2 linked regions of the Caenorhabditis elegans genome follow. The protein of the gene in region 1 purifies or fractionates together with the protein of each later gene. This does not show direct contact. Each region holds a gene or a part of one and is shown in the gene's direction. Other genes may lie near its edges.

Evidence for each region.
Region 2: the proteins of magu-2 (region 1) and kca-1 purify together in Caenorhabditis elegans (affinity purification with western blotting, with the first as the bait; one study listed by BioGRID). This does not show direct contact.

Annotation. Positions count from the first base shown.
Region 1 is NC_003283.11:8,799,175-8,802,930, reverse strand, and holds the start of magu-2 (MAGUK p55 subfamily member 5), read left to right. Parts: upstream 1-1,902; 5' UTR 1,903-1,934; coding exon 1,935-2,109; intron 2,110-2,387; coding exon 2,388-2,497; intron 2,498-2,543; coding exon 2,544-2,628; intron 2,629-2,688; coding exon 2,689-2,776; intron 2,777-3,756.
Region 2 is NC_003279.8:4,759,706-4,763,461, reverse strand, and holds kca-1 (Kinesin Cargo Adaptor), read left to right. Parts: upstream 1-2,140; 5' UTR 2,141-2,154; coding exon 2,155-2,679; intron 2,680-2,728; coding exon 2,729-2,917; intron 2,918-2,968; coding exon 2,969-3,478; 3' UTR 3,479-3,642; downstream 3,643-3,756. Other genes in the region: kin-35 (Protein kinase domain-containing protein), read left to right, coding at 1-18, 69-221.

The DNA of each region.
Region 1 (3,756 bases):
TCTCGACAAACGTTTTGTGAAGATTATCAACGATGGACGTTTATGTTTTTCACAATATCTTCTCACAACTTATTCTCAAAATCCATATTTGTTTTTTGCATTCTATACAAAATAAAATATGCCCATCAAACTCGAAACTAGCCTAAAAATGACTGAGATCCGAGAGGCGGGTGAAAAAAGTTTTTTTTTTTTAAGTTACGAACTTTAACCATAATAGTAGTGTTATTTGTCTTGGTTTTTTTTCAAAGCTACGAGAGTCACAATAGAAGATCGGCGTAATTTGTCTCAGAGAAAATTACAAGACGACATGTTGAAGATAGATGAGCTGATCAATGAAATCAGCACTAATCAGCTGGCTATTCTCTATCTTATAGCTTGTTCTTTCTATGCGGCCTGCGTCTCTTCAAATCCCTGCGGGTCGAATGTCACAATTCACCATCTCCTTTTCTCTTTCTTGCTCCATGTGCTTCTTTCTGTCCCCAGACTGGACCTTCTTGTGCTCTCCCACCCACACCGCCATCTTCCTTTCTCTCTTTGCCCCATCCTCGACTATCTGTATCTTCTTCGTTCTCACTTTTTATACTCGAGACTCTGTGGAAAAAGACACAGAAGACACACCAATGGCGTCAAAAATCTTTTTTTTTAGTTTCCCTCTGCCGGACACGATGCACATAGTTTCGGTGCGATTCTCTCAAGAGGATCCCCCATAATTATTTGTCACTCTAAATCTCAAGCTCTCTCATCCAGTTTTCATTCCCAATCTATCCATCTCCCTGTCACACTGAACTAGTGGAATGAATGTCAATATCATCAATCTGGACCACTGTTTTCATCTGTCTCGTTCAATTTTTTATCCCCGGGAAAAGCTATTATTTAGTGCTTCATTCCGTGTGTCTTGAGCTCATGGATACTTTGAAGACCTCATCTTTTTTGATTGAACAAACGTGACAAGACAATTTTATGAATTCTTAGAGAGTGTGTGTAATTTTAATTGCTTGCAGCATGCTTGACAGCTGCACTTACTGTTTTCCTTGAAATACGCAAACTTTCACTGATATGCCTAATTTTAGAAGTGTATTTTTGAAATTCAAAGGAAAAACTTAAAATTTACTTTCAAAATCTTTAAAGTAGCTGTTTTTATCAATCTAGAAAATGTCACTACAGATAAAAATATTGTATTGATATGTGGAGTCTTTTAATTGTGCTTTTCGTGAGTCAATAATTAAGATTGCATTTTTAATTTGGCAACAATTTAGAAATTTGTTATCTGGCAAATATGTTCTATGATACCGTAACTTTCTCAGATAACTTTAAGATTATTTTTTTGTCCATAACCTCTGTTCTCAACTTTAAGACATACAGTACCCCTTATACACAGCTCCCTTTTTTTGTTATTTTGAATTTTCTCTTCAACTATTCCCATTTTTGTCGGTCTTTTTCCAATTTACCCCAAAAAGTCCATCTCATCAAAAGCGCTTCAAGTCTTTTAGTTCTTATCCCCCATTCCTCTTTAAGCTCTTGAAACACAAAAAACAATTGCAGAAGAAAAGAAAAAAAGCAATTAACTAAGAAAGTGCACTCATCACAACTCTTCTTCTCGGTTCTTTTTCTGTCTCAATTATTCACGCAACAACGCTTACATGAAGTAGCAGTTTTTCGAGTGATTCTGACATTTCTATTCATTTGTTTCAAGTTTATGATTATTTTTAGATCCAAGTTTTGAGCAGATCCCGGAATCCTAGCATTCATCATTCAAAATGAAAACCACGAGATTTCAAAACAACTTTTTTCATTTCACCTACTCATAAATTCCATTCCGATTCAGTTATTGCTTTATTTTCAGAAATTTGGATTCTCATTTTCTTATTTTCGCTTTCGTTGGAAATAATATTCCCAAAAAATTTTCAGCCTTCATCTAGTGGCTCGAGTATCAAATGTCCAAGTCGGTGTCGATACCACAGGCACTGTCCGACTTGAAAAGGACATCCTTGAGACGGTTGAGCAGTGCACGTGGTGTTGGAAATAAGAAGACCGTTGTGAGCACTTCGACGCCGTTGAGTGGTTTTGTAATTTTGGTTGAACGAGAAGAGAAGGTTGTTCGGCTGTACGGTAAGTAAAAGATAATTTTATTTGACTAATTTATAAAAACATTTTGAAGTATTTTTATTGAAATAATTTGCAATTTTGATGAATTTTTACTGAAATTTTGTCAACGAACATTTGTACTAATGCGATTCTCCAAATCGTTGATGGCATCGGCAAAGTGGGCGTTTTTTTAACCTATATCGCAATTTTTTTCGCTTTTTTCAAGGTGTCTGGAAATCAGATATAAAGTGCTTTACAAATTTTATGCAGACTTCTGAAAAAATAATCGATTTCCATTACAGGAACTGCTGCGGAAAGAGCAGGATTGAGCATTGGAGATGAAATCGTTGGGGTAAATGACATGAAAATAGAAGGAAAAAGTTATGAGGAAGTCACAACTTATATTCAAGAAGTTTGATAAAATTTATGATACTTTCTTGCAAAATTTCAAATTTCAGTGTATTCGTCGAAAAATCATTCAGCTGAAAGTTAGACGTCGTGCATTAGAAATTCCAGCAGAAAATGAAGCTTCTGTTTTTAACTGTGAGTAAAAAAAAGTTTATACTTTTTCCTTTTTAATACTTAGTTTTTGTTTAATTTCAGGCACAAATTCGAATCGTATGATAACGGATGCATATCTAGTTTCCGTGGATAAGGATCATATCAAGGAAGTTACTAAACGGCTGAAAAAGTGAGTAATCTTTTTTTGAGAGAGATTTTCTTCTCTGCGATACTATCTGTGAGAAGCGGAACGTGTAAAGAACGGAAAGAAGAGTTCTTAAGTGCTCTCTATTTATGGTATATGCATAAACAGTGAATATATGACAAATAGTGCAAATACCACTAAGATTTGGTTTTTGGCAAATCAATGTTCTTGAAAAGTTCTCATATTTATTTCATTTCACTTAAAAAATTCATCTCTCTTCATTTTCTTTAAAATCTTTGTTGTTCACTCGTCGACCTGCTTTCTAGAAATTAATTAATGGCCTCGAAACTTTCTGACGGGCAGGGAAACACAAAAACACTGAGATTATGAATGTGAGCTAATTTGGAATTCTCGTTCGTCCAGTCTTCACAACTATATAGGTCACATTCTAGTATTTCACACAGTTAGTCGGCACGTCTAGTATGTCACAAACCAATAATCTGTCAAGGTGAAGACAAAAAATGGAGAAAAAAAAAGAGAAAAAACGGAGAGTTCCGTCGTCAAATATATCAATAAATCTAGTGATTAATCAGTCAACCTGGCGATTCTTTTTTATGTCTCCCTGATATTCTATTTCACAGTCAGTGGCATTTTCAAGTAATAGAACCTCCCATTGCGCTTATCACACTCATTCTCTCTTTCTCATTCCTTTTTTCTTATTCTTTCATCAACTTTTTAAATGTTTCTGTCTCATTACACTATTTATCAAAAAACTATCATCACTCAAATTCTGTGTTCTCTTCGTTTCGAAGGTTGTCTGACTTGTGATAATTGCAGGTTGTTAGGGTTTCAGAACGTTACAGTTCTTTATTACAATTTACTACGCTTTTGAGATTTTTTGTATGTTCACAGTTAGCTAAACTCTTGCCTAGCTTTGGAATAACATGTTACTTTCAATTTATTGATTCTTGTATGTTTTGAAAAGCAATGACTTTTAGCACCCTTTTAGCACGACTGAAACTATC
Region 2 (3,756 bases), on another chromosome or scaffold:
GATGATAATAAGAAGCAGGTACTTGGGAATAGGAAAATTTAATTTTAATTTTCAATATTGCATTTCAGAAGAATGCAAAAGTCAAGAACAAGATGCTTGGTAAGCCGAAACAGCCAGGAAGTGGTGGAGCTAATAGTGGAGATGCAAAAACTGCACAATCGAAACTCGGATCCAAAATGAGTACACATAAGAAAGCAAAGGCATCGAAGAGAAACAAGTGATTGGAACTAGACATTTCATTATCAATAAAGTTTTATGTGTTCTTCTGTTGTCTTATTTGTTGAGAAGACAAACTTCCATTGAAAAATTAAAGGTTCCAAAATGTAAAGGTGATGTAGTAATATTTGAGACTCTGCTCAAAAGCTTTTTATATGATCTAACAAGGCAATGTGCATAAGGGAAACATCACAAAAGTCTCCCAGAAAGATGTTATGATGTACAAAGTTCCAAATACTACTCTTTTCCTCGATCTAATTTGAATTCCGCGTGCAAATGATTTTTCAGATTCTCGGCCGTGTTCTCCTCTCGGGCAATGAACTTAAAAAAATTAAAGTTTCGGAGTTTATGCGATTCTTCGAATACTCGCATGATTATTTGTTTTTTCTGTTGAAATTTCAGAGTTTAAAACACATTTGATTTATTTCTAGAAATAAATTACTGGAAAATCAACAAAATACGGGATTAAATTTTAGCAACTTAACTGGATTTCAACTAGAAATGAAAAAATACCAAAGAAAAATGTTCTGAGCTCATGTAATTTCTTATAATTTTTTAAAACAAATTGGGAAGATTTTCGATTTTAAATCGATTTTTCATTGTCGCAAATATTGAAGGAAACTACAGTACTCTTTTAAAGACGCATGTGCCAAATTTTCCGGAGGTAAAGTCGCGCCGAGACCTGTGCAATGAAAGGCGCGTATTTTCGTATTTTCGTATTCTCATTTCACTTTTAGCCTTTTTGAATCACATTTTTCTCTTTTTTAGGATTAATTTTCGAAGCTTAAACTTAATTTTTTCGAAAATTTATTTATTCAATTTCCTTTTTCCACTTTTCCTTCCTTTTTTCCCAATTATATTTTCTCTTGCAGCCGTTCGATTCCAAATGGTTCGACAAGACGCCGGAGTGATGATCGGAGAAGATGCTCTGTCCTACTGCTCAGGGCAGAGCACTTCCGATTCATCATTTCGAACAATGAAATCGACTTCATTATCGAGCTCCTGGCATTCTATGGCATCTCCACACACTTCTGACGTACAAGGCGTCTCGTTCTTCCGGCCATTCAGCTGGTTTGTATGGCGTCAGACTGAGAAGGACTTGAAGAAGAAACAGGACAAAGAAACTGTCGATGAAATAATGAAGTGCTTCCGGAACAACGACGTCGACGGAATGGAGAAGTTTGTTGAAAAAAAGACTCGCGAGTCTGTGTCGTCAATGAAAAACGACGAGTTTTGGTGGGATGACGACGAGATTTCGTATTGGAAGCATCGAACTACTCCAGCACAAGATGAGCTTCCTGAGGATCTAATTTGAATTCCGCGTGCAAATGATTTTTCAGATTCTCGGCCGTGTTCTCCTCTCGGGCAATGAACTTAAAAAAATTAAAGTTTCGGAGTTTATGCGATTCTTCGAATACTCGCATGATTATTTGTTTTTTCTGTTGAAATTTCAGAGTTTAAAACACATTTGATTTATTTCTAGAAATAAATTACTGGAAAATCAACAAAATACGGGATTAAATTTTAGCAACTTAACTGGATTTCAACTAGAAATGAAAAAATACCAAAGAAAAATGTTCTGAGCTCATGTAATTTCTTATAATTTTTTAAAACAAATTGGGAAGATTTTCGATTTTAAATCGATTTTTCATTGTCGCAAATATTGAAGGAAACTACAGTACTCTTTTAAAGACGCATGTGCCAAATTTTCCGGAGGTAAAGTCGCGCCGAGACCTGTGCAATGAAAGGCGCGTATTTTCGTATTTTCGTATTCTCATTTCACTTTTAGCCTTTTTGAATCACATTTTTCTCTTTTTTAGGATTAATTTTCGAAGCTTAAACTTAATTTTTTCGAAAATTTATTTATTCAATTTCCTTTTTCCACTTTTCCTTCCTTTTTTCCCAATTATATTTTCTCTTGCAGCCGTTCGATTCCAAATGGTTCGACAAGACGCCGGAGTGATGATCGGAGAAGATGCTCTGTCCTACTGCTCAGGGCAGAGCACTTCCGATTCATCATTTCGAACAATGAAATCGACTTCATTATCGAGCTCCTGGCATTCTATGGCATCTCCACACACTTCTGACGTACAAGGCGTCTCGTTCTTCCGGCCATTCAGCTGGTTTGTATGGCGTCAGACTGAGAAGGACTTGAAGAAGAAACAGGACAAAGAAACTGTCGATGAAATAATGAAGTGCTTCCGGAACAACGACGTCGACGGAATGGAGAAGTTTGTTGAAAAAAAGACTCGCGAGTCTGTGTCGTCAATGAAAAACGACGAGTTTTGGTGGGATGACGACGAGATTTCGTATTGGAAGCATCGAACTACTCCAGCACAAGATGAGCTTCCTGAGGATCATAAATACACTCCACATCCATCGAAAGGATTCAAACTCCCTCCTCGTGTGTTGAAAGCAGTCCGATTCGAATTGGATAACACTCCGGAAGATCGTCAGCCACGGGTGAGAATATTTATTTTAACAACTTTATGCTAATTTTGTTGTTTTACAGCCGTTCACACCACTTTACACCAGCACGCCGAAGAATCCTGCAATCAATGAGGACGGAAGTGACGACGAGTACAGCTTGGTTCCATTGAGATATTGTGACTCCAACACAGTCGCTGTGCCAGCTGCAGTCTTCAACAACACTTCATCGATTCTACTTGATAATGCTGTAATTATGACAACGTTGAACAAGGTAAATTTCTTGAGTATATAATTTTATTGAACTAAAATCTTATTTTTTTAGAGTCGAGAGGAAACTAATGAAATTCTGTGCAAATCATTGAACAGAGATTTCTACCAGCTGGCCTATGTCGACTCGGAAGACGCTGAGCAAGACCACGGAAAGCCCGAACAATCAACTCAGAATCCCCTTTGCAACACATATGTCGTTCATTCGTCAGAGGAAATGTCATCTGAACCAAGCAGTTCGACCATCAACCTAGATCAAGCCAATGTTTCTGATGATGCGAGGAGCGCCATTCTGGGATTGGATCGTGTGGAAAATGCCATTCAGCGTGCACTTGCCAACCAGAATGGGCCAGAACAAGGACTCGCTAGGCAACTTCGAGAGCGCATCCAGAGCATCAAAAAGAGCATCGACGAGATCTGCAGCGAATGTCCGAATGGCCCGGAAATCGACACTGATCGTGTGAGCCGGGAAAGTGACCACGACGTATCCGCCGACTTCGAGGATTCGGATTGGCAGCCGCATTTGGAATCCGATGTCGGAAGTTTCGACGAATGCATGCTGTAAATAATATAAATTTATATTGATTAACTTGTAAAATACTCACCCATCCCGCTCGTCTTAAGTTTATAATTCCATGTCAAATATTATTATTCACAAGTGATCACATGTACTATAGTTTTATTGCAATATATTTTATTCTCGTCAAAAATAAAGACGATTATCACTTTAAATTTTATTTTGAAGGCGTCACTGTTGTAGGTCAGAAAGAAGCGGAAAATGGATTTGGATAAGCCGAAGTTGTACACTTACGAATGCTCCATAGCAATTTTTCCATATTTATT